Linked DNA regions of Macaca fascicularis. The protein of the gene in region 7 interacts with the protein of the main gene of each other region in a biochemical or structural test. Links are inferred from orthologs where the notes say so. Each region holds a gene or a part of one and is shown on either strand. Other genes may lie near its edges. The genes, in order: THRA, ESR1, HNF4A, RXRA, PPARG, TGS1 and NCOA6.

Region 1 (3,500 bases), on a different chromosome or scaffold from region 7:
ACTTATTCCTGCAAATATGACAGCTGCTGTGTCATTGACAAGATCACCCGAAATCAGTGCCAGCTGTGCCGCTTCAAGAAGTGCATCGCCGTGGGCATGGCCATGGACTGTAAGGGGCCCGGGTGGGGGGAATAGAGCCAGGTGGCCTGGGGTGGGGATGAGTTCCAGGAGGGCAGCTCCCTTCCAGCGTGCCCTCAGGGCCCACAGGGCAGAGTGGCAATCCAGTCTAGGTCAGGCTGAGGGCAGAAGGTTCAGTGTCTTGGTTCCTGCTGCCCTTCTTCCTGCGTCAAAGGAAACAGGATCCCTGTGTGGGCCCCAGTGCCTACCTGCCTTACAACACTCGAGGGCCTTAGAGGAGTTGTTTGGTAGAAAGAGCTCCTGGGCACCCACTCTAGCACATTGTTCTTGACTCCCAGCGAAGGCACCCCACTCCTAGATGAGACAGGGCATTTTCCATTGGCTGGGGATTGGGTGGCAGGATCTTGGAGTAACCACCATCACCATAACCCGATAGACCAGAACATGATATTCATCTGGATCAGCCCAAACTGTTATTGACATGGTCCCGGGGATTAATCATGATCCAGGTTGTGCTGCCCAACTGCTAGGTGATTTGGGAAGTCACTTAGCCTCCATGGCCCTCGGTTTCCCTAACCTGTACTCTAGGAAGAATAGTTTCCGGGAGCATTATGGAAAGGGGATGGAGGGTGCCATGCATCGGACCTTGTGCCTATCTGTTGACAGTGGTTCTAGATGACTCGAAGCGGGTGGCCAAGCGTAAGCTGATTGAGCAGAACCGGGAGCGGCGGCGGAAGGAGGAGATGATCCGATCACTGCAGCAGCGACCAGAACCCACTCCTGAAGAGTGGGATCTGATCCACATTGCCACAGAGGCCCATCGCAGCACCAATGCCCAGGGCAGCCATTGGAAACAGAGGCGGAAATTCCTGGTAAGGAGAAAGGGGGCATGGGGAGAGCAGCAGCCAGGTGGCAGGGAGAGGAGAGTGAGCTCAGAGTCCTGTCTCCTCCAGGAAGTCTTCTTAGTGTAATCCAACCCAAAATACATACTCTTCCCACTTTTGCTGTCCAGATTTTATACACTTGCGTTTGTGTCCTTGCTGTCTGGACCCTGTCTACTCCATCCAATTGGGAGCTCCATGAGGACAGGGCCTTGCCTTCCTCATTGAATTTCCAGGGAGCAAGGGTGACCTTGCTTCTTTTTCCTGCCCCTAGTGACTGGGAGGAGAGGGTAAGGATACAGTTATGTCACAGTATTTTTGAGTGCCTGCTGGGTGCCAGGCATTGTGTTAGGCCCTGGTCAAGCTAGTGGCTAAGTAAATGATTAGTTCAGGACCAGATGCAATGGCTCGTGCCTGTAATCCCAGCAATTTGTGAGACCAAGGTGGGAGGATCGCTTGAGCCCAGGAGTTCATCTGGGTAACATACAGAGATCCCACCTCTATGAATAATTTTTTTTTTTTTGGTATGGAGTCTCACTCTCACCCAGGCTAGAGTGCAGTGGCATGATCTCGGCTCACCGCAACCTCTGCTTCCTGGGTTCAGCGATTCTGCCACCTTAGTCTCCTGAGTAGCTGGGATTACAGGCAGCCGCCACCATGTCTGGCTAATTTTTGTATTTTTAGTAGAGACAGGGTTTCACCATGTTGGCCAGGCCGGTCTTGAACTCCTGATCTCAAGTGATCTGCCTGCCTTGGCCTCCCAAAGTGCTGAGATTACAAGGTGTGAGCCACCATGCCTAGCCTCTACGAATAATTTTTTTTTTTTTTTTTTGAGATGGAGTTTTGCTCTTGTTGCCCAGGCTGAAATGCAGTGGCGCAATCTTGGTTTGCCGCAACCTCTATCTCCCAGCTTCAAGCGATTCTTCTGCCTCAACTTCCCAAATAGCTGGGATTACAGGCATGCGCCACCATGCCTGGCTAATTTTGTATTTTTAGTAGAGATGGTGTTTCTCTATGTTGGTCAGGCTTGTCTGGAACTCCCAACCTCAGGTAATCTGCCTGCCTTGGCCTCCCAAAGTGCTGGGATTACAAGTGTGAACTACTGTGCTCAGCCTCTCTACAGATAATTTTAAAATTAGCTGGGCATGGTGGTGTGTGCCTGTGGTCCCAGGTACTCGGGAGGCTGAGGCAGGAGGGTCCCCTAAGCCCAGGAGGTCGAGGCTGCAGTAAGCCATGATTATACCACTGCACTCCAGCCCAGGCAACAGAGCAAGACCCTCTCTCAAAAAAAAAGTGGTCGGTTTGGGAGGAGATGGACAGTTGACTCTGTGTGGTGAAGGAAGGCAGAAAACCAGCTCCTGGTTCATGGTGGAGCATGCCAGAGGGTGGCACAGTGCACTGTTAAGGGCATGGGCTCTGATTCCAAGCAGATGTATAACAGTCAGCAGTCAGACTGCCCAAGTTCAAACCCTGGTCCTACCACTTGCTGGTCATATGACTTTAACCTTATTACTTAGCTGCCCCGTGCCTTAGTTTCCACATCTGTGAAATGGTGATTATTATAATTATTCCTTTTAGGATTACGGTCAGGATGAAATAAGACATGTAAAACATGTAGCCTGATGCCTGATCATATATTAAGTATTTAGTCATTATAGCTGCTACTACTGTTGTTACCATTGTTATTATTAGCTGACTCTGGCTCTGGTCTATCCTCTGCTCAAGGTGAAGGAAAAGCTTTGGGGCTGGGACTCAGGCACTTGCGGCCCTTCTTCCCCAAGCTGCCTTGGAGCTCCCCCTGGTGGGCAGGCAGCCTCAGTGAGAGGCTGAAAGGGGTCTGCAGCCCCAGCTGACCCCTGTCTTTCTCTCTAGCCCGATGACATTGGCCAGTCACCCATCGTCTCCATGCCGGACGGAGACAAGGTGGACCTGGAAGCCTTCAGCGAGTTTACCAAGATCATCACCCCGGCCATCACCCGTGTGGTGGACTTTGCCAAAAAACTGCCCATGTTCTCCGAGGTGAGTGGCAGAAGGGAGGAGAGACGTGGTGCTGTGCTGGAGGGAAACCTTCTCCCCCGGTCACCCAGCACAGGCTCATCTGAGGCTCTCTGGACAAGGAGCAATTCCCGTAGGTCAACACACACTCAGCACACAGGCACACATGCAGACACAGACACAGACACACCTAGCACACAGATACATACACACACACACATATACACACATATACACATACACCCAGCACTCAGGCACACGTGCAGACACATACACAGACACACACACCTAGCACACAGATACATACACACACACACATATACACATACACCCAGCACTCAGGCACACGTGCAGACACATACACAGACACACACACCCAGCACACAGATACATACACAGACACACAGACACACACATGTATACATACACCCAGCACTCAGGCACACGTGCGGATACACACACCCAGCACACAGATACACACACAGACACACAGACACACACATATACACATACACCCAGCACTCAGGCACACGTGCAGATACATAT
Region 2 (3,998 bases), on a different chromosome or scaffold from region 7:
TAATAGAGGAAGTCATAAGGTTAAAGTTTCAATTCACCAAGAAATATCCATTCTAAACATGTATACATACCCAATTAAGCTGCCTCAAAATATATATGACAAAAATTTAGAGAATTGTAGAGTCAGATATAAGGATTGAAAAGGAAGAAATGAAACTAATTATTTTCAGATGATATATACATTTACATAAAAAACTCCAAAGAATCTTCAGATAAATTATTAGAAATTGTAGGAGAGCTCAGCAAGAAGGCAGGATATAAAATTAATATACAAAAGTCAATGTCATTTCACTATACTAGAAAAAAGACAATAACATTAGAAAATAAATCTAACATAAGATGTAGAAAAACTTATTAGAGGAAAAATTTTCTTGAGAAATATTAAAGAAGATCTAAATAAGTAGAATTACATCATATTCATGCATAAGAAGGCAACATTTTGAAGATGTCTTGTTATATATAGGCCTAGGAATAATATAGTTTTAAGTTATGTTATTTTGAACTGTAGATGAAAGAAAGCTCTTTTTTTTCCTTTGAGTATTTTAAGATTTTGAATAAAGTCATAGTGCTCTAGGAAGGTTGTAATATTTTATACTTCGCCAGCAGTGTTTGAGAATGCTTACTTCCTACATTATAACCACCATAAATATTTAAAACCTGATAGCACACAGTTTTAAAAATTTGAAATTCTCCAATTAACAGTGACCTTTAAAAATTATGTTTACTGGTCTCCATTATTTTGTCCTTTGTAAATTTTTATTAGTTTTTCTGTTCACATGTTCCATTTTTAAAATAGACTTTTAAGAGCTGTTTGTATTAAGAATATTAAGGCTTTGTCCCTATAATTAGTATTTTTCAGAATATCCTTTCTAGGTACAGTTTTTCAGTTCTAGTGCACAGAATGGAAACTTGTTACCTGCTATACCACATTTTCACTAGGATGTGATGTATTTATCACAAACAACAGTATTGGTCAACATTTTCCCTCGCTGTGAAGTGCACATTTGACATCCTTTAGAAAAATTACTGACGGTTTTGAGACGATTGTTTTGTGCTTTCTTTCAGTCAACGTAATTTTCCCGAAAGCAGAGATGACTCTTCCAGACATGCTAACAATGCCTGAACAAACTGTGTAAGCTTAGTCCAAAAAAAATATTTGATTAATAGATTTTATTCTGGTAGATTCTAAGGTTCTAAGCAGTCAGAGAAATAATCGCAGAGCCTCAAATATCTCCAAAATCTGATACCAATCCCTTTGATTGTGAATTATATTCTGTAGCTACCAAAGAAGGTAAGTTTTAATTTTTTCTACTCTATTAACTTTCCCTTGGGCAACTGAATATTAAGATGACTATGTAAGGAGGTTATCAGACCAAGGCCTCACACATCAGGATAAAAGCACATGCCATAGAAAGAACATTTGTGTCTCACAAGGTGATACCAAGGCAAGGCTATGGGATATATATGGGCACAATGTTGATATCTTCAAAGACTTGATACATAGTCTGGAGGTTTTCAGAGATTTTAATTTATAATGACAATCTTTCAAATTAGGAGAATTTTTGGACTGTAAAGTTAGCCAAACAAGTCTTCAATGATAAAAAAAGTCTATATCTTACACAGGGGGAATACATTTTTTGTTCGTTTTAATTTTTTCTCTGTCTATTCATACAGGGGCATCACATGTCTTTATCATTAAAAACTCTGATTTAGATAGACAGTTGTAGAGAAATTTAATGTGTGGGAATTTAAAGTTGTTTTATAAAGATGTAGCAAAATATAAATTTAAGACCCACAGCACCAATGAAAAAGGGAAATTAATTAAACTAGACAACTTTTATGGGTACTACCCATTAAAATTAAAATTTTAGTCATTGTAAATTATATTACATTGTAACAGTTTTCAATCTGTTGTCAAGTTAAATATTTTGGGTGACAATTGTATTTCACAGTTGTTCACACTTTGCATAATTTTCTAAGGAAAATGAGTCCCTTGGGGAGAAAATTGTTCTAAAATTTTATTGTTGGATAATGTTGCTGCACTAACATGATTTGCTGAAGTGGATCTACCATGTGTGTTTAGGTTTTTGTTCTTTACGAAATGTGTTGGGTGAAATTTTCCATAACACTGGTGAACTTTTCATGCTAATTTTCCAGTCCGTCAGTTTAAATATTATGCATTTTTTCCTGCGAATCTATCTTGAATCTGAAAAGGCCCCAGAAGGAATTAGCATGAGTCCAGAGTAGATGGACTGCAAATGTTACTCATATTTCAACATGTATCCAGCTTTCAGAAATAGCTTACTGAAATCAAGGTTGAACCACATGAAATTTTGGGGTTTTTTTGGATGTAAAAAAGGTTAAATATTGACATTTTCATATCATCCAATCTAATATCTTCCTCTAGTGAGGTTCTGGCAAAAAAAAAAAAAAAAAAAAAAAAAAAAGTATGATGACCCGAGTTGTTCACTCTTTTAAGCTTTATATTTCAAAATATTTTTAAAATTTAAAGCCATATAAGTGCATCCCAAAAAACATGGGAAAATTTTGTAGGCTACTTTTGTTTACTGATTTTTCTTCTATAGATTTATTTTTATGCTATGCCTGACTCTCCAATTAGATTTTAGTCATCCAGGAAAGTACAATTGCTCGTACTTCTAAGCAATTCTCCCATCACCTGGACATTAACTGCAGCCCACACTGCAGTGTCTTGACTGCAGTAGGCACTCAGTAAATATTTATTGATGGTCCTGATTATGGGATGATGAAATATGCTAAAGGTAACTTAAACTTTTGTCAATAAAACTGAGTTTCAGGTTAGTTTGACCTTTTCCGTATCTCTAAATATTTTCTTTCATGTCATTTTTGTGAAATAGCTCACAAAAGTACTTATTGATTCTGAAATCCTTTTCCCCTCTGGTATTCCTGAGCTATTCTCACTCACACACAGCACACCAGTGCCATCGTTTGCTGTTTTGGTTAAAATCATTCTCATTAATATTCCTCATTCAGTAAAAATAGTTGATTCTCAGTTATAAATATACACTTCATATTGGCATCCAACTGTTATGTGGGATGGAAAACAAAATGATGATATTGACTCCATAAGATAAACAGCAGTCTTTAGAATAGAGTTTGGTGCATAACTGTTCTAAATGTATCAAAGTTATCTCATTTAATCCTCCCACACACCTGTGGGAAGAGAGTATTTGTCTTGCTTTACAGATAAGGAAGCTGAGGCTTAGAAGATTCATATGTCTAACTAAGATCACAGAGCTGGTAAATCAGCCAAGTTTGAGTCTAAATCCAGGTTTTAAATATCATATTACATGTAGGCATAGATAAGCAAGAACAGGTTTTCCTGAAGATGGCCAGGCTAAGGCTTAGAAGAAGGAAGCTCAAGGAGACTAAACCAAGATATGCTAAGGCAAGTTTTTTTGTTTGCTTGTTTGTTTTTGAGACCGAGTTTCGATCTTGTTGCCCAGGCTGGAGTGTAGTAGCATGATGTTGGCTCACCACAACCTCCGCCTCCTGGGTTCAAGTGATTCTCCTGCCTCAGCCTCCCGAGTAGCTGGGATTATAGGCATGCACCACCATGCCCAGCTAATTTTGTATTTTTAGTAGAAACGGTGTTTCACTATGTTGGCCAGGCTGGTGTCGAACTCCTGACCTCAGCTGATCCGCCCATCTCAGCCTCCCAAAGTGCTGGGATTACAGGCATGAGCCACTGCGCCTGCCCTGCTAAGGTAAGTATTGACCATTAGAGGAGATGACTAGTCCTAGTGACAGGTCTTTCCTACTGGGAGTCAGCCAAGAGCTCCCCACTTTTCTGGTTCCGTTGTTCCTCCTGCAAAGTTCCATTGATAAAGTGGTTTCCCATTTGATTGTCCAATGATGCAAATCTCCAGTCCTTTATAGCATTGAGTTGCTTATGGCCTTTTACCGTTGAGTTTCTCATGGCTAATGAATGCTATTGAATTGGTGTTCCCATTTATCTAT
Region 3 (3,500 bases), about 9.7 Mb from region 7:
CCATTGTAGATGCCAAAGGGCTGAGCGATCCAGGGAAGATCAAGCGGCTGCGTTCCCAGGTGCAGGTGAGCTTGGAAGACTACATCAATGACCGCCAGTATGACTCGCGCGGCCGCTTTGGAGAGCTGCTGCTGCTGCTACCTACCCTGCAGAGCATCACCTGGCAGATGATCGAGCAGATCCAGTTCATCAAGCTCTTCGGCATGGCCAAGATCGACAACCTGCTGCAGGAGATGCTGCTGGGAGGTCCGTGCCAGGCCCAGGAGGGGCAGGGTTGGAGGGGGGACTCTCTAGGAGACAGCCTCACACAGACCTGAGCTCACCCCTCAGCTCCTTGGCTTCCCCACTGTGCAGCTTTGGGCAAGTTGCTTAACCCATCTGTGCCTCAGTTTCCTCATCAGAAAAATGGGAACAAAGGCAATGGTCTATCTGTTCAGGCGCTGAGAGCCTAGCACATGCCAGTCACTGTTCTGAGTGCTGGCAATTCAGTGAAGAACATGATCTTTGCCCTCCGGGAGGCTGTGTATGTGTGAGTGTGTATAGATGCATGGATATCTGTGTATATGCCCGTATGTGTGTGCATGTGTGTATAAAGGCTCACATTTTATGATTTTGAAATAAACAGGTAATATGGTAGAGTTTAACTGAAAAGGAATCCTCTTTAGATAGGGGAGGCCAAAGGAGACCTCTCTGAAATGGTGACTCTTGTGCTAAGACCCTAATGGCTGAAAGGAAGTGCAAGGCTTAAAAGACAAGAGAGCAGTGGCTCACACCTGTAATCCCAGCACTTTGGGAGGCCAAGGAGGGCAGATCACGAGGTCGGGAGATCGAGACCATCCTGGCTAACACAGTGAAACCCTGTCTGTACTAAAAATACAAAAAATCGGCTGGGTGTGGTGGTGGGCGCCTGTGGTCCCAGCTACTCGGGAGACTGAGGTAGGAGAATGGCGTGAACCTGGGAGGTGGAGTTTGCAGTGAGCCGAGATCGTGCCACTGCACTCCAGCCTGGGCAACACAGCGAGACTCCATCAAAAAAAAAAAAAAAAAAAAAAAAAAAGAGAGGAATATTCCAAGAAGAAGGAACTACTTCAAGGGCCCCGGAGAGGAGAGAGTTGTGTGTTTGAGAAAGAAGGGCAAGGTTGTGAGATGGAGGAGATGGAGGAGGTGAAGATGGAGATTGGGCAGAAACCAAATCATAAACATATGGCTTTGTAAACCTTGTCAGAAATTTGGATTTTATTCTCATTGCAACTATTGTAAGGAGAGTGAAAACCAGACTAATTATTTTTATTCTTTGAGACAAAATTTCCCTCTATCATCCAGGCTGGAGTGCAGTGGCAGGATCTCGGCTCACTGCAACCTTCACCTCCCAAGTTCAAGCAATTCTCCTGTGCAGCCTCCCAAGTAGCTGGGATTACAGGCACCCGCCACCACGCCCAGCTCTTTTTTTTATATTTTTAGCAGAGATGGGGTTTCACCCTATCGGCCAAGATGGTCTCAAACTCCTGACCTCAAGTGATTGCCCACCTCGGTCTCCCAAACTGCTAGAATGACAGGCATGAGCCACCATGCCCAGCCCAGACTAATGCTTTAAACAAACCACTCAGACTGTTGGGTACAAAGTAAATTGCAGAGATTCCTGAGAATGTCACTGTCTCCAATCATGTGACAGATGATGAAGGCTTGGACCATGGAAATGGAGCAGTGAAGATAAACCGGATCATCTATTTGGAGGAAGAGCCCACACCCACAGGATTTGCTGACTGATTAGATGTAGGGAGTGACAGGAAGAGGAATAGTCAAGGACAGAGTCTAAATTTTTGCTTTGAATAGCAGAAATGATGATGGAGTAGTTTACCGAGATGAGGAGGACAGAATAAACAACTTGATGCTGCGGTCTGGGGGTGGTCGTGAGGGGTGACCTCAGAGATCCGTTGTGGACTCTCTTTTTTTCCTTTTTCCTTTTTTTTTTTTTTTTTTTTTGAGACGAGATCTCTCTCTGTCACCCAGGCTGGAGTGCAGTGGCGCAGTCATAGCTCACTGCAGCCTCAACCTTCCAGGCTCAAGAGATCCTCCAGTCTTCCGAGTAGCTGGGACTACAGGTGTGTGCCACCATACCCGGCTAATTTTTCATTTTTATTTTTTATAGAGACGACGTCTCACTATGTTGCCCAGGCTAGTCTTGAACTCCTGGTCTTAAGCAATCCTTCCGACTTGGCCTCTCAAAGTGCTGGGATTACAGGTGTGAGCCACCATGCCCAGCCTCATTGTGGACTTTCATTAAGCATGAGATGACTATTACAAGTCCAAGTTGCCGAGGAGGCAGTTGAATGTATGAGTCTGCTGCTCAAGCACAAGATTAAAGGCAGCTCTGTGGAATCGGGGGAAGATGGAGCCATGGAGGGAAGGGAAGAAGAATGGCCGGAGGGGTAGGAGAAAACCAGGGCAATTCCAGAATCCAAGAGAAGAGCGTGTTTGAAGGACAGAGTGTTTAATGGTGTTACACTCTGCAGAGAGACAGAAAGAAGGAGGGAGGAATGGAGAGGTGAAGGGAGGAGGGGAAGAGAGAGGAAAGAGTCCATTGGATTGGCAGCTGGAGGCTCTTGGCAATTGTGTTGAAAGCAGTTTCAGAGAGCTGGGAGAGTGGAAACCAGATTGGAGAGTGCTCCAAAGACAGCAAGTGGGAAGGTGGAGATAGAGTAGATAACCCTTTGAAATGGTTTGACTGTGAAGGGGAGTATGAAGGAGTTAGGATGACTGCAAGGGAGTGATTAGAATGATAGGTCATGCAGTCTGGGCTGCACTCAAAGAGAAATAAAGACAGAGGCTGGGTGCGGTGGCTCACACCTGTAATCCTAGCACTTTGGGAGGCCGAGGCGGGTGGATCACTTGAGGCTAGGAGCTCAAGACCAACCTGGCCAACACAGTAAAACACCATCTCTACTAAAAATACAAAAAAAATTAGCCAGACGTGGTGGCATGCGCCTGTAATCCCAGCTACTCGGGAGACTGAGGCAGGACAATCGCTTGAACCCAGGAGACGGAGGTTGCAGTGAGCCGAGATTGTGACATTGCACTCCAGCATGTGTGACAGAGCAAGACTCTGTCTCAACAACAACAACAAAAGGATGGGGTGATAGTGAAAAGAGAGTGTCAGTGAATTGACAGCCTCAGTAGGCTGAAGAAGTTTTGCAGTGATGGTACTAGATTAAGGGAGCTGGAAGGACACAAGGTGAAGTCAAAGTAGGGATGTTGAATTCGAGATTTTGGAGGTGCTTCAGTGAGGGCGAGGTTTCTCAACACTGGTACTATTGATACTTGGAACTGGACGATTCTTTGTTGTGCTGGGCTGTCCTGTGCGTTGTTTGGCTGCATCTCTGTCCTGTACCCATAAGGTGCCAGTAGCACTTCTCCAGTAGTGACAACCAAAAATGTCTTCGGATATAGTCAAACGTCTCCTGATGGGCCAAAATCATCCCCAGTTGGGAACCACTGTTGTG
Region 4 (3,500 bases), on a different chromosome or scaffold from region 7:
AAGGACCCCATGCCAGCCCGTACGTCACACTCAGCCTCACGGCCCAAGGAGGATACCCTGCGGGAGTGCGGGGCCCGGCAGAGGAGCTGATTTCTCAACAGGACCGTGAAGGCTGAGACGGCACACACAAGAGATGATGAAATGAAACTGCAGCACAAGGGCCGCCACTCAGGACATCCCTGACGGTGAGACAGTGGCTTGGATCCTGCTTGGGGACCCCACCACGGGCTGGCGGGGAGGAAGTAAGACACACCAGCCACACAGGTGTGGGGCCTTGGGAGCAGCACGGCAGAGGACAGAGGAAGGGTGTCCTGCAGAGCTGGGGGCATGGGGACAGACCAGCAGATCTTCACCCCAGACAGCACCTCCCACCCCAACAAAGCCCAGGGCACGGGACCCGATGGGAAGAATCGAGGCACACCCGCAAACACGTGAGAAAACCATGACCCAGGGACCCACTCGGAGGCCAGGAATCGCCAAACCTGAGAAGGAAAGGGGATGTGACAGATGGAGACACTGAGGTCCACAGCCAGCCAGGGCTGGGAAGTCACAGCGCCTGTTGGGTCCGGGACTCTGACCCAGGTCTGACTTGACAATTGTGGTGACATCGGGGGAGGGACCTTCCCTGCAAACCGCCCCCAACACAGATTTGTTAATAACACCGGCACAAAAATGCAAGGAAAGGAGGAACTGCTCCAAGAGCCTGGGGGCCATCCGGCGGCCCTGCAGGGGTGCAGCAGAGTTGGCCTCGGGAGGAAGCCGGCCCGGAACCACCCCTGGCATCCAACAGCTCAGAAGACGCCCCCGCTCCACCTCTCCAACCTAAGCAGCACCACCTGAAGGTCTCCTTGACCATCCCCTCGCCAGACAGCCAACGCCAGCCAGAAAATGCCGCCCGGGGCCCATGTGCGCCCACGCTTCGGGCCCCGCCGCCACTCCTGCCTCGGCCTTGCCGTGCTTCTGTCCAGGCCACTCACTCCCTGTTGTCCATCTTGGGTGTCCATGCGTAGGCCCGGGCCCCACTGTTTGTCCAACACCTGCCCGTGCCCCCACCCGACGCCGTGGCCTACCTTCCCGCTTCATGCCCATGGCCAGGCACTTCTGGTAGCGGCAGTACTGGCACCGGTTCCGCTGCCGCTTGTCAATCAGGCAGTCCTTGTTGTCGCGGCAGGTGTAGGTCAGGTCCTTGCGCACCGTCCGCTTGAAGAAGCCCTTACACCCCTCGCAGCTGTACACCCCGTAGTGCTTGCCTGCGGGACAGGGCAGGGCAGGGCTGGGGAGCAGTCACCGCGCCGGCAGGCAGCCCACCCCGCATCCAACGCCGCCACTGTCAGCTGGTGGGCCAGGCCTCAGGAAGGGACCCGCTGGTCTCCAGACCCCCGCCTGGGCTCAGACTGGGCCCCGGCCTTGCCCTCTCTGCTCCTCCGAGGACAACTGGGGAGTGGGGCAGGGATAAATCCCAGCTCATCAGGGACCAGAGCTCCTGGCAAGTCACCTGCTCTGTGTCTGCACCGTGCAGCCCGTTCTTCCCTCTCAGGCTGTGGGGGGCAGTGGCACAACACAGGCCCCTTGCCCAGACCCAGCCAAGGGAGGAGGCACGGTGCTGGCTGCTCCCACACTGACCCTGCCATCAGCAGCCACCTCCTCTCCGGAAGCCTCAGGCGGCCCTGTGCCCCACCCCACCCAACACATGCTGTCCCACAGACGTGAGAACCCTGGAATGGCCTCGTGGAGCCCTGGGAGTGGGCCATGGCCCAGGTGCCTGCCTCCCTGCACCCTGGCCTTGGGTCCTGCTTGGCCCACAGGAGGGTGACTTGGGGAGGCCTCCAGACCCTGCAGTGGCCTGACAACCCTGTCCCACCGGCCCCCACAGCAGCAGTACCTGAGGAGCGGTCCCCGCAGATGGCGCAGATGTGCTTGGTGAAGGAAGCCATGTTTCCTGAGGGGTGGGCGGGGACCTTGAGGACGCCATTGAGGCCCAGGGGGGGCTTGATGTCCTCGCTGCTGCTGACCGGGTTCATGGGTGAGCTGAGCTGGGGGGGCAACCACAGCGGTCAGTGGGGTGCACACCAGGTTCGTCCGTACGTCCCCCAGAGCCCTGCAGCAAGGATGGCGCAGCCGTACCCCCCACTTCACACACAGACACGGAGGCTACAGAGGGTCGTGCCCCCCACCCGCCACGCTGCTCCGGAGCAGGGGGTCACTGTGCGTGCTGAGCGAGGCCAGCAGAGGCTGCAGCAACCTCGGGACTCGCCCACAGCAGACCCCAGGCCTCTGTGGCAAAGGACCCCTCAGCAACCCCCCAACACATGGGCGGTCCCTGCTTGCACCCCCCGTCCACTGCCCACCTAAATGAGAGCTGCCTCTCATTACTGAGCCCCTGGCAGTGCCCAGCCCTGCTGGGTGCCCCCGGACACTCCATGAGGCAGGCACTCTGGGGGGTCCCAACCCACAGATGAGGACGCCGAGGCCCAGTCCCCAGGACGGAGGAGGGCTGGGGACCCTCCAAGAACCACACATGTACCCCACCACACCGCAGGGCAGGGGTCCTGGTCACGTGACACAGGAGAGGGGAGTGGACACCCCCGGGCATCGAGTGGCACGACACCACTGGCCTCTCCGCACACCCCTCCGCCCCACCCGCCAGCCCGCACGCTGCCGCCCGGGCAAGCGTGGGAAACTCACCCGGTCACCCTGGTAACAGCTGCAGCGTGCAGTGACACAGCAGTTTTGGTTCCGCTGCCTCCACCCAGCTCTGCAGTCAGTGCAGAGGACCCACAGGCGCTTCCCGCTGCATCCTGCCAGCCAGCCCGGCTGCGCACAGCACTGAGCGCTCGGCCAGGCAGCCCCCAGCCTTCACTTCTGCAAACCCCTGCCACCGCTTGTGCGCAGGAAGCTCCCCTCCTTCCTTCCTCAGGCCTCCAAAATCCCATCCCCCCTTCTCACGGGACAGGAAGAGTTTGAGGCTCAATGCAAGCAAAGCAAAAACCACCCCAAAGCCTCCTTTCACACGGGCCTTGGTGCCTGGAATGAGTCTTCCAGCCCCAGTTTGTTCCGGCTTCTAAGTTCTTCCTCGGTCTGCCCAGGTGGGCTGTGAGGTTTTGCGAGGATGCTTGGTCCCCGCGGGCCTCAGGTGAGCTGCAAGAGGCCAGAAGGTCCCCCGTGACAACTCAGCACAGTGGGGGTGCCACAGTGGGGGCTCCAGTCACCGGAGAACCGGGTGGCCACCGTGTGACTCGCCAAAAGCCCAGCGTTCACGTCCACAGGCACCAGGTGCGCTTCTCAGAGAAGGGAGGGAACTGAAGGGGCAAGAGAAGGCTCCAGATGTTTGCTGAGGGGTATGGTGCCTGGGCTTTGCACCCACACTTGCCACTCCCTGCATGGAAAACCCTGGGGGCCCCAGATGCAGAGGCTGTGGCTCAGGGATGTCAGGGGCTGGCCAAGGTCACACAGGGTCCCCCACTCTGCAGAAGGCGAAAGTGAAGCCCCTGGAAGGACAG
Region 5 (3,471 bases), on a different chromosome or scaffold from region 7:
CAGTGGCATTGATTAGCAGGTAGTATATGAATAGGCTGCTGGTGGTGAGTGAAAATCTCGGTTAGGATTGTGGAAGAAGACTGAATTCTGGGTAAGCCCAGGGATATACTGCATATCAGCATATCCAGGCTACAAAACACATGCTCTGAGCCGTCTGATTCTGAAGTTCCCCTTCCCTTCTTAGTTCTGATTGTTAAAGCAGATGTAGAGTTCCGAAAAGTTGTAAATTGAGTAAAAAATTAATTTACTGAGAATGGAAGTGTATCAGCAGTTCCACTCACATATTTTAAAATGTCTAAGAAAGAAAAGAAAAATAAAGGAAGAAGGAAAGGAAGGAAGGAAGGGAGGAAGGGTGCGAGGGAGGGAGGGAGGAAGGAAGGGAGGGAGGGAGGAAGGGAGGGAGGGAGGGATCGAGGGAAGAAGGAAAAGGGGGAAAAAAGAAAGCCCAGGGGCTAGGGTGGGAAACACACAAGACTCAGTAAATGAAATACTATCAGCAATTTCATAATATGGTAATTTTTAATATTAAAAGTAAATTGTAAATGTGTCTTTATAAACAATATGCATAAAATAGATCATATTCTAAAACCGTTTCTTTTTAAAATGCTTTTTCACAGTAAATTTCTTAGGTGTCAGATTTTCCCTCAGAATAGTGCAACTGGAAGAAGGGAAATGTTGGCAGCGGCTCAGGACTCTCTGCTAGTACAAGTCCTTGTAGATCTCCTGCAGGAGCGGGTGAAGACTCATGTCTGTCTCCGTCTTCTTGATCACCTGCAGTAGCTGCACGTGTTCCGTGACAATCTGTCTGAGGTCTGTCATTTTCTGGAGCAGCTTGGCAAACAGCTGCGAGGACTCAGGGTGGTTCAGCTTCAGCTGGAGCTCCAGGGCTTGTAGCAGGTTGTCTTGAATGTCTTCAATGGGCTTCACATTCAGCAAACCTGGGCGATCTGGGGAAGCACAAATGGAAAACACAACACGGGGTTCAGTCAAAAAATCCTCTGGGCCCCGCCTCGGAGGCCTAGGGAGCTCTACCAAGCAACTCATCCGTGGTTTTGGTTTGTTTTGCTTTGTATCTTAAATAGGTGGGGAGCAAGGGCAAGCAGATAATGGGTGAGAACTGAGGATGTAATCAGAACCAAAATAATCAGAGGTCTTTGCAGGGGCTTTTTCTGGCCAGGATGGAATCTGTGTGGTCAGCTGATGGAGCGTGGCATCAAAACAATTTCATTCCCCAAATTAAGTTTCCTCTGCTAACATGTTTCTACTCAGAAATTTCCTTTTTCCTTTTTTTTTTTTTTGAGATGGAGTCTTGCTCTGTCTGGCTGGAGTGCAGTGGCACGACCTCAGCTCACTACAACCTATGCCTCCCGGGATCAAGCTATTCTCCTGCCTCAGCCTCCTGAGTAGCTGGGATGATAGGCGCTCACCACCACGCCTTTCTAATTTTTGTATTTTTAGTAGAGATGGGGTTTCACCATGTTGGCCACGCTTGTCTCAAACTCCTGACCTCAAGTGATCCACCCGCCTTGGCCTCCCAAAGTGCTGGGATTACAGGCATGAGCCACCACGCCCAGCCAGAAATCTTTTCAACTTCTGCTCCTTCCTGATGAATCCATGTTTTATAGCTTCTACTCAGTTTCTTATCATAGCTTCAAATATGCTCTTTTCACAAATATGCTTTTAAAAAAAGGCTTGTCTTTTTGCTTGATTTGCTTATGCTGTGTTTGCTTAATATGGCGTATTTCCAAACGACAAAACACAGTTTTAAAATACTGATACATTTTAACAGAGGTTTCTTTTGAGTGGCAAGATTGCAAGCAATTTTCACTAGTTCTTCTTTAGATTTTTTCTTTAGTTCAATTTGCAAATGGTGAACTTAAATACCTTTTAAATATTTTACTTTTTTCTTTATGTAGATCTTGTTAGATTTATTCTCAAATACTTTATAGCTTCTATTGTGAATGGACCCTTCATTTTCATTACATCTAATATATCCCCGCTGATGTGTAGAAAACTAATTGATTTTAGTATATTGAAACGATTCCAATTTCCTGAACTTTTGTCAGTTCGAATAGCTTTTAATCATGGATTTCTACTTTTTTTGGATAGATAATTGTATCAGCAATGGTAGCTATTTATTTCTTCTTTTGCATCATTAACCTTTCTCATTTCCTCTTCTTGCCATAGTGTGTTGGCTAAAACCTCCAATATGGGATTAAATAATAGCAGCAATTCTTGTTTTATTCCTAACTTTGAAGGAAATGCTTCTAATGGTTTATCAGCAACTATGATGTTTGCTATAGATTATGGAGGACATGTTTTACTCCTGGCTTATCCAGGGGTTTAAAAATTTTAATTTGTTTTAGTCAGGAATGTTGTTGAATTTTTATCAAATGCTTTTACATTTCTCTATCTAAAGAGCTATGATATCTTGAAGAGTTATGGTTTTATCTTAACCTAGCACAGTGAATTACATTAACAGAGTTCCTTATACCCTTGTAGTCACTTGCTAATATTTTATTATAGGGTTTTTGTACTTGTAGGTGGTACTGATTTAGAATTATTTTGGGGGCCATTCTTTGCCTGTTTTAGTAACAATGTTAACTAGCCTTATACACTGAGTTGAGAAGTTTGCCTTCTGTGTCGACATAGTAATGATCTGTTCCCTGACGGTTTCTTAGAATTTGTTTGCAGAACCATCTGAGCTTAATGATAAATCTATCATTATCTTTAATTTTTCTTCCATAGTTTTTATCTATTCAGGCTTTCTACTACTTATATGGTAAAGTTTTAGTAATTTATATTGGAATAAAGTTGTAGATGATATTGTCTTAGAATATGAAATGTATTTATTCATGCCCCTTAACTTAATCTTAACTTAATGCTTTTTCTTTTCTTTTTTTTGAGACAGAGTCTTAATCTGTTGCCCAGTGCAGTGGCATGATCATGGCTCACTGCAGCCTCCAACTCCTGGGTTCAGGTGATCCTCCTGCTTTCGCCTCCCAAGTAGCTGGGACTATAGGCATGAGCCACCACACCCAACTAATTTCTAAATTTTTTGTAGAGGTGGGGTCTTGCTACATAGCCCAGACTGGTCTTGAACTTCTGGCCTCAACCAATCCTCCTGCCTCAGCCTCCCAAAGTGCTGGGAACATAGGCATGAGCCACTGTGCCCAGCTCTTAGAGCTCTTTATTTGTGCATTCTCTCATTAAAAAAATCTGATTTGGCCGGAGAATGGCAGGAACCCGGGAGGCGGAGCTTGCAGTGAGCTGAGATCTGGCCACTGCACTCCAGCCTGGGCGACAGAGCAAGACTCCATCTCAAAAAAAAAAAAAAAAAATCTGATTTGTCAAAGGTTTATCTAGTTTTTGCTTTTTTAAAAAAACATAACTTTTGGTTTTTTAATCAAGTCTGTTTTTAAACATTTTGTGTTTTGTTTTTAATTTATTGAATTCCTTTTTAAAACTTTC
Region 6 (3,500 bases), on a different chromosome or scaffold from region 7:
CCAGCATATCATCAGTTGTTTTTTGTTGGTTTGTTTTCTTTTTTTCCTTTAAAAATTGTAACTTTGCAGGCCAGGCAAGATGGCATGCAACTGTAATCCTAGCTGCTTGTGAGGCTGAGGCAAGAGGACTGACTGAGCCCAGGAGTTCAGAGCTTTTTAGTGCATTATGATCACACCTGCAAATAGCTGTTATACTCCAACCTGGGCAGTACTGTGGGACCCCCATCTCTAAAAAATAAAAAATAAATATTGTAACATTTGCCTACCTTTGTTTTGGGCAGGTCCTGTAATCAGTCACTCTGGATCTCAGGGTTTTTTTAAATGAAAATAAGAAAACCTGCCTCTTAAGTTTTCCTTAAAACTAAGCTAATAAATGCTATCTATAGGAGACCAGGCGACAGAAGAGGAAGAAGGTGGTTATTCTTGTGGTACTGCGGAATCACGTGACAACAAAGGCATATGCCTAGATGAAAGTGAGCTTGATTCTGAGGCTGAACTCATGAGAAGTATGGGATTGCCACTTCAATTTGGTAGGATATCTGCACATAAGAATTTTGAGGTAAATATTAATTTACTTTTATTCTCTCAGTTTTCTTTATAAAATATCGCAGGGAGTTACTTTTTATCAGATTAAATGCATTCACAATCAGTACTCTCTGCCTCTTTTTAAATGTATGTATTTATAAATTAACCAAAACTGCAAGTTGTAATATGTCTCACGTGTGACTCTTCCTCCTCTTGGAAACTTAGACAGTATGTCACTTGTTTGTGGAGCTGAAAGCCCATAGTGGGACTTTGAGAGTAGTTTGTTTAATTTAATGTCAAAATAGACTTGGATTCTGCTTTCTTGTATAGTTTTATGAAGTACATTTTATATTCAAATTATTTATCTGATGTAGGTATCTATGAATACTAGAAATAAAGTTAAAATAAAAAAGAAAAAGAAGAAACATCAAAAGAAATACTTAGATGAAATTATGCAAGAATCTTGGAGAAAAGAATATGAAGAAGAACACATTTTGGCTTCAGATGATCCATCTTCAATTGAACAGTATGAGAACACCAGAATATGTGAACTTCAAAGCAAAAAAGATACTGAGACAGAAAATCTTCCTGTTGAAAACACATTATCTCCAAAGCTAGAAATTACAGAGAAATGGGAAAAGTATTGGAATGAATACGGAGGAGGACTATTGTGGCAGAGTTGGCAAGAAAAACATCCAGATCAAACACTATCTTCTGAACCTTGGAACTTTCCTGATACAAAGGAAGAATGGGAGCAACATTATAGTCAACTTTATTGGTATTATTTGGAACAGTTTCAGTATTGGGAAGCTCAGGGTTGGACTTTTGATGCCTTGCAAAGCTGTGATACAGATACTTACTCATCTAAAACAGAAGCTGACAACAAGAAAGATGAAAAATGCTTGAAAGTTGACTTAGTATCTTTTCCATCTTCACCTATTACAGTTGATAATGACAGCTCTGGTACAAGTGATAAGGATTGTAGTGAAATACTTGATGGAATTAGTAACATAAAACTAAATTCAGAGGCAGTAAAACAGAGCCAATTAGATTCCTCTACAAGTCATGATGGTCATCAACAGCTAAGTGAAGTTAGTAGCAGAAGAGAGTGCCCTGCTTCCGGCCAAAGTGAACCACATAATGGAGGAACCAATGAGGAAAGCAGCCCACCAGGGAATACAAGCACAGACCCACCAGCTCAGGGTAAGATTAACCAAGATTTATTCTGCCATGTAATGGTTAGCAAAATGAATTCATTCAGCAAAATAACTACTAATCCTTTATTGTAGAGTTCAGTAATACCAACTACATTTCATATAGTAATGAAATGATTTAATCCATTCTATTTTCATATCACAAGTTGTTACCCTTTTCTGTTAATAAGAATATTTGCATACAGTTCTCAAAAACATTCCTTCTTGTACTTTGGTGGCTAATGAAAACGTGGAATCTCTTGAGAAATCTAATTTAGAGTGAGCTTGGAACTTTTAGTTTTTCAGAGCAAATGAGTTTATAAGAGGCATGTTAGAAAGCAATTGAGAACGTACATTTGACATTAGGCAAATGTCTTATGAGTCATAGTGGAATTCATGTAGGACAAGCAAAGTCTTGCTGTGAAAAAAGATCTCAGTGGGGCCCAGAATTAATTTATAACTGGAATAATTTCAGGATTCTCATCAATAAAATATCCAGGATAAGGAACTTGGTTGATTCCTGAATAACTGATAAAAAAAAAAAAAAAAAAACAAAAACAAAGGCTCGTTGTGCAAACTGGTGCCACTCAGGACTAGAGAATGCCAATGAGAAGTGCTTTGAAAGGAGTTAATCGGAGTAGGGTGGGATGAGAATGTTTACTTTGCATTGCTGTAAAGGAATACCTAAGACTGAGGAATGTATAAAGAAAAGAGGTTTATTTTGGCTCACAGTTTTGCAGGCTGCACAGGAAGCATAGCCTCAGCATCAACTCCTGGTGAGGGCCCCAGGAACCTTCCAATTATGGCAGAAGGTGAAAGCGAAATAGGCATGCCACATGGCAAGAGAGACAGCAAGAGAGAGGGGGGAAGTCCCAGGCTCTTGTTAGCAATCAGATATTGCAGTAGCTCATTACCATGGGGGGGAGGCACTAAGCCATTCATGAAGGATCTGCTCCATGACCCAAACACTTCCCACCAGACCCCACTTCCAACATTAGGGATCACATTTAAATATGAGGTTTAGAGGGGACAATCATCCAAACCATATCAGTGTTCTTGCTAAGGAGAGGGTTCTGCCAATTAACAGCACCAGGAAAATGAGAGAGGAGGAAATTGTGACATCTGCATATCCTGAAGTTTTGGCATCCTGATGTTACATGCTGAGGACATCTAGTGTAGAGGAACTTTCTTCTCAGCCTTACTCCTTTGTGAAACAAATGGTTTTGACCTTTTACTTAACCATCAGATTTGCTTTGCTTATCTCAGATTGCTGATAATACTTCATCCAGCTGAGAGTTTCTAAAGAGCTCTGCCAACTTGCTTTTTTCTCTGTATTCTTAGATTCTTATAGTGGAGCCTACCTCAGCATAATATTCTCATAATATTCTCATTCTTTTCTATTTAGGTGATATATTTTCACCTTTTTTTTAATTTTTTTTTTTTAAGATGGAGTCTTACTCTGTCGCCCAGGCTGGAGTGTGGTGGCATGAACTCAGCTCACTGCAAGGTCCACCTCTGGGCTCAAGCAGTTCTCCAGCCTCAGCCTCCCGAGTAGCTGGGACTACAGGTGTGTGCCACCACTTCCAGTTAAATTTTTTTTTTTTTTTTTGTATTTTTAGTAGATACGGGGTTTCACCGTGTTGGCCAGTCTGGTCTCAAACTCCTGACCTCAGGTGATCCTACCGCCTCAGCCTCCCAAAGTGCATAGGCGTGAGCCACCATGCACAGCCATCCTTTTTTATTTGAAGATTTTATATTAATATTCTGATACTCTTCTATACT
Region 7 (3,500 bases):
CACCCCTGTTCAGCTTCCTTCCCCTCCTTGTACGTCTTCTCCAGTAGTCCCTCCTCATCCCCCTGTCCAGCAAGTGAAAGAATTGAATCCAGATGAGGCTAGCCCTCAGGTGAACACCTCAGCAGATCAGAACACTCTTCCCTCTTCACAGTCAACCACAATGGTTTCTCCCCTTTTGACCAATAGTCCAGGGTCCTCTGTCAACCGGCGAAGCCCAGTCTCGTCTAGTAAGGGCAAAGGAAAAGTGGACAAAATTGGCCAAATTTTGTTGACCAAGGCGTGTAAGAAAGTTACAGGCTCTCTTGAGAAAGGGGAAGAACAATATGGTGCAGATGGAGAGACTGAAGGCCAAGGGCTAGACACCACAGCTCCGGGGCTCGTGGGAACAGAGCAGTTACCCACAGAGCTGGACAGTAAAACCCCAACGCCCCCAGCACCCACTCTGCTAAAAATGACCTCTAGCCCCGTGGGCCCGGGCACTGCCTCAGCAGGACCCAGCTTACCTGGCGGTGCTCTCCCCACCAGTGTACGCTCGATAGTAACCACTCTGGTACCCTCCGAGCTCATCTCTGCCGTAACGACCACAAAAAGCAATCATGGTGGCATAGCATCTGAGCCACTTGCGGGTGGCCTAGTGGAGGAGAAGGTGGGATCCCATCCAGAACTTCTACCCAGCATAGGTATGTACTTGGGGCTTCATCATCTCTTTGTGTCAGTTTTTTGATGACCTAATCCCACAAGAGAAAGCATGACTCGTTTTTTACTTGGAGGAGAGTGGGCTAAATGGAAGTAGTTTTATTTATTGAAAGTACGTTGGAAAATATGCTTTTAAATCCCATGTTAAGTTTGCATTCATTAAAGAGAGCTAAGGGCCGGGTGCGGTGGCTCATGCCTGTAATCCCAACACTTTGGGAGGCCGAGGCGGGCGGATCACTTGAGGTCAGGAGTTCAAGACCAGCCTGGCCAACATGGTGAAACTCCATCTCTACTAAAAATACAAAAATTAGCCAGGCATGATGGCACACACCTGTAATCCCAGCTACTCAGGAGGCTGAGGCAGGAGAATCGCTTGAACCTGGGAGCAGAGGTTGCAGTGAGCCGAGATCACGCCACTGTACTCCAGCCTGGGCAACAGAGCGAGACTCTGTCTCAAAAAAAAACAAAGAGAGCTAAGGCTCTCAAAACAAAGAGCTCCTGAAATAATGACACCTTTCATTTATATAAAAGTTTTTCAATTTACAAGGAAGCATTTTTACATATGTTGTCTTGCATCATCTTTATACCAACCATATCAGATATTCTTAATCCCATTGTATGGGTGAGAAGACTGAAGCTCAAAGAAGTTCAGTGTTTGTTCAGAGTCTATACTGTGAACCTCCCATTTAACACTGTACCTTACGTGTGAACAGCAGCTTCTGCAGATTCTCTTTACCAGGGTGAAGATTTGCTCATGACTTTCAGAACAATGGGTCCTCATTCTCATTGTACTCTATCTCAGGAACCATTCTTTTTTTGTCTGGGCTACTCTAGAGGAGAGCTAGAAGAAAACTGGGTTTCATGATAGTGGACACGGCAGAAACAAAGTGGTCAAGAGCCTGTAGGCTTGGGTTGGTATTATAACACCAGCATTTACCAGCTCTGTGGACTTGGGCAAGTTACCTGACCACTCCAGACTTTGGTTTCCTCCTTTGTAATATGGAACAATAATAGTTGTAAGAATTCAATAAGGTAGTACATATAACATTCTTAGCACAGAACCTAGCATATAATTATTCAATAAGTGGTAAAAATTGTTATTCCCAGTTTTTTTTTTATGTAATCTCTTTGTTGATTGGTGCATTCCATTTGCGTGTATCTAGTTCAGGCTATTTCCTATGTACTGTTAAAATGGGCTAATGATGGAAGCATAGGTGTCCTTACAACCGCCCCTCCTTCCCTTCTTCCCTTCCCCTACATGATTCTCCTCCTGTGAGGCTTAAGTGAAGAAGCTCTATTTCCTCAGAGTGGAGTCAGTCACACACTGCTAGAGCTGAGAAAGACCTTTGCAATATCCTAGGCCAGCTAATTAAGTGCCTATCTTATTTATGCAGCTAAAATGCTTCGAGTGCCTACCACTGAGTGGTAAGCACCCAGGTGGAGAGGCAGAAAGAACACAAGCTTCAGGGTAAGATCAGAGTTCAAATTCTAGCCCACTGGTTACCAGTTACAGTTGATACATTCCTTAACCTCTCCTAAGCCATGTACTTCACTTGTAAAATGGAGATTGTACATTCTACCTCCCAGAATTTAGGATTCTGAGAGAGGACTCAATGAGAAAATTTGTCAAGTGGCCAACACACTGCCTCACACCGAGCTCTGGAAAGGTTATTTCCCCTTCTCTCTGCCTCTTGACCTCAGTGTTAGAGATATGGGGGCAGGATCAAGGCCTTCAAGGAGTTTGCTGCTCTTATAGGAGACAGTCTTCACAAGACTGGGTGCTTATTCTATCTTGTTCTAGTTCTGTTGGTGTAGATGAACCTTAATAATTAAAAGGGAACCTGCTGTAAATTAAGTATATCCTTCACTATTAATTAAATATTTCCACTTCTCCTTTCAGGAGACTTTTCCCTCTGGTATCAAGAGAAAAATGATGAAGTAATTAGAAATTTTTTTTATCTGGATCATATATTATACTAGAGAAATATGTGAGCCTTGAGGAGATGAACCACACTTGGAAAAAGTTCTCAATTTTAGTTAAGAATACTCACTTTGCTTATAAGTGATTATTTCTATTCTTTTTCAAGGGACTTCTGTGCTTTTACTTTGAAAATGTGAGAAATTGGCCAGGCGCAGTGGCTTATGCCTATAATCTCAGCATGTTGAGAGGCTGAGGCAGGTGGATCACTTGAGCCCAGGAGTTTGAGACCATCCCGGGCAACAAGGCAAAACCCTATCTCTACAAAAATATATATATATAAATTAGCCGGGCATGGTGGCATGCACCTGTGGTCCCAGCTACTCAGAAGGCTGAGGCGGGAGGATTGCTTGAACCCACGAGGCGGAGGTTGTGGTGAGCCGAGATCCTGCCATTGTGCTACAGCCTGGGCGACAGAGCAAGTCTGTCTCAGAAGAAAAAGAAAAGGAAATTTGAGAAATGAACACTAAAGTTAAAAGTAGAAGTTAAGATACAGTTTTAAGGTTTATCAGATGAGCATCCAAAATAAATTCTTATACATAAATGCCTAATTTACTGCTTTAATAAGCAGGGAGAAAAATATACAAAATTCACAGTTTCCACAAGAGAGTAAAACGTATTGTCGCAGAGTTTATCTAGGATTTTAGACTGAGGTGTCAAGATGTGACTGTGGCATATCCACGCCATAATCTTTACTGTATCTTCCAGGATGGTTCCCTTCTAGAGTGCATTATGTATTTTATTCCATTCCTTAAGGGCCTAAGTTCTCTGTGTCCTTTGAAGCCTGATTCTGATGTTTCTCCCTTTAATGTGCCTCCAGATTTCT

Evidence for each region.
Region 1: the proteins of NCOA6 (region 7) and THRA form a complex in vitro, tested with the Homo sapiens proteins (2 studies listed by BioGRID). The link is inferred for Macaca fascicularis from reciprocal best matches to the Homo sapiens genes NCOA6 and THRA.
Region 2: the proteins of NCOA6 (region 7) and ESR1 form a complex in vitro, tested with the Homo sapiens proteins (4 studies listed by BioGRID). The link is inferred for Macaca fascicularis from reciprocal best matches to the Homo sapiens genes NCOA6 and ESR1.
Region 3: the proteins of NCOA6 (region 7) and HNF4A form a complex in vitro, tested with the Homo sapiens proteins (2 studies listed by BioGRID). The link is inferred for Macaca fascicularis from reciprocal best matches to the Homo sapiens genes NCOA6 and HNF4A.
Region 4: the proteins of NCOA6 (region 7) and RXRA form a complex in vitro, tested with the Homo sapiens proteins (5 studies listed by BioGRID). The link is inferred for Macaca fascicularis from reciprocal best matches to the Homo sapiens genes NCOA6 and RXRA.
Region 5: the proteins of NCOA6 (region 7) and PPARG interact in a test that uses a peptide from one of them, tested with the Homo sapiens proteins (2 studies listed by BioGRID). The link is inferred for Macaca fascicularis from reciprocal best matches to the Homo sapiens genes NCOA6 and PPARG.
Region 6: the proteins of NCOA6 (region 7) and TGS1 form a complex in vitro, tested with the Homo sapiens proteins (2 studies listed by BioGRID). The link is inferred for Macaca fascicularis from reciprocal best matches to the Homo sapiens genes NCOA6 and TGS1.

The regions. Positions count from the first base shown.
Region 1 is NC_088390.1:61,153,584-61,157,083, forward strand, and holds part of THRA (thyroid hormone receptor alpha), read left to right. Parts: coding exon 1-109; intron 110-744; coding exon 745-950; intron 951-2,831; coding exon 2,832-2,978; intron 2,979-3,500.
Region 2 is NC_088378.1:59,861,262-59,865,259, forward strand, and holds the start of ESR1 (estrogen receptor), read left to right. Parts: upstream 1-1,198; 5' UTR 1,199-1,290; intron 1,291-3,998.
Region 3 is NC_088384.1:100,500,892-100,504,391, forward strand, and holds part of HNF4A (hepatocyte nuclear factor 4-alpha), read left to right. Parts: intron 1-9; coding exon 10-246; intron 247-3,500. UniProt on the Homo sapiens protein: Transcriptional regulator which controls the expression of hepatic genes during the transition of endodermal cells to hepatic progenitor cells, facilitating the recruitment of RNA pol II to the promoters of target genes. Activates the transcription of CYP2C38.
Region 4 is NC_088389.1:4,952,450-4,955,949, forward strand, and holds part of RXRA (retinoic acid receptor RXR-alpha), read right to left. Parts: intron 2,889-3,500; exon of another isoform or gene 2,686-2,888; intron 2,034-2,685; coding exon 1,883-2,033; intron 1,251-1,882; coding exon 1,071-1,250; intron 1-1,070. UniProt on the Homo sapiens protein: Receptor for retinoic acid that acts as a transcription factor.
Region 5 is NC_088376.1:150,711,308-150,714,778, reverse strand, and holds the end of PPARG (peroxisome proliferator-activated receptor gamma), read right to left. Parts: intron 948-3,471; coding exon 700-947; 3' UTR 501-699; downstream 1-500. UniProt on the Homo sapiens protein: Nuclear receptor that binds peroxisome proliferators such as hypolipidemic drugs and fatty acids.
Region 6 is NC_088382.1:65,757,596-65,761,095, forward strand, and holds part of TGS1 (trimethylguanosine synthase), read left to right. Parts: intron 1-386; coding exon 387-559; intron 560-899; coding exon 900-1,728; intron 1,729-3,500. UniProt on the Homo sapiens protein: Catalyzes the 2 serial methylation steps for the conversion of the 7-monomethylguanosine (m(7)G) caps of snRNAs and snoRNAs to a 2,2,7-trimethylguanosine (m(2,2,7)G) cap structure.
Region 7 is NC_088384.1:90,779,863-90,783,362, reverse strand, and holds part of NCOA6 (nuclear receptor coactivator 6), read left to right. Parts: coding exon 1-680; intron 681-3,500. UniProt on the Homo sapiens protein: Nuclear receptor coactivator that directly binds nuclear receptors and stimulates the transcriptional activities in a hormone-dependent fashion. Coactivates expression in an agonist- and AF2-dependent manner.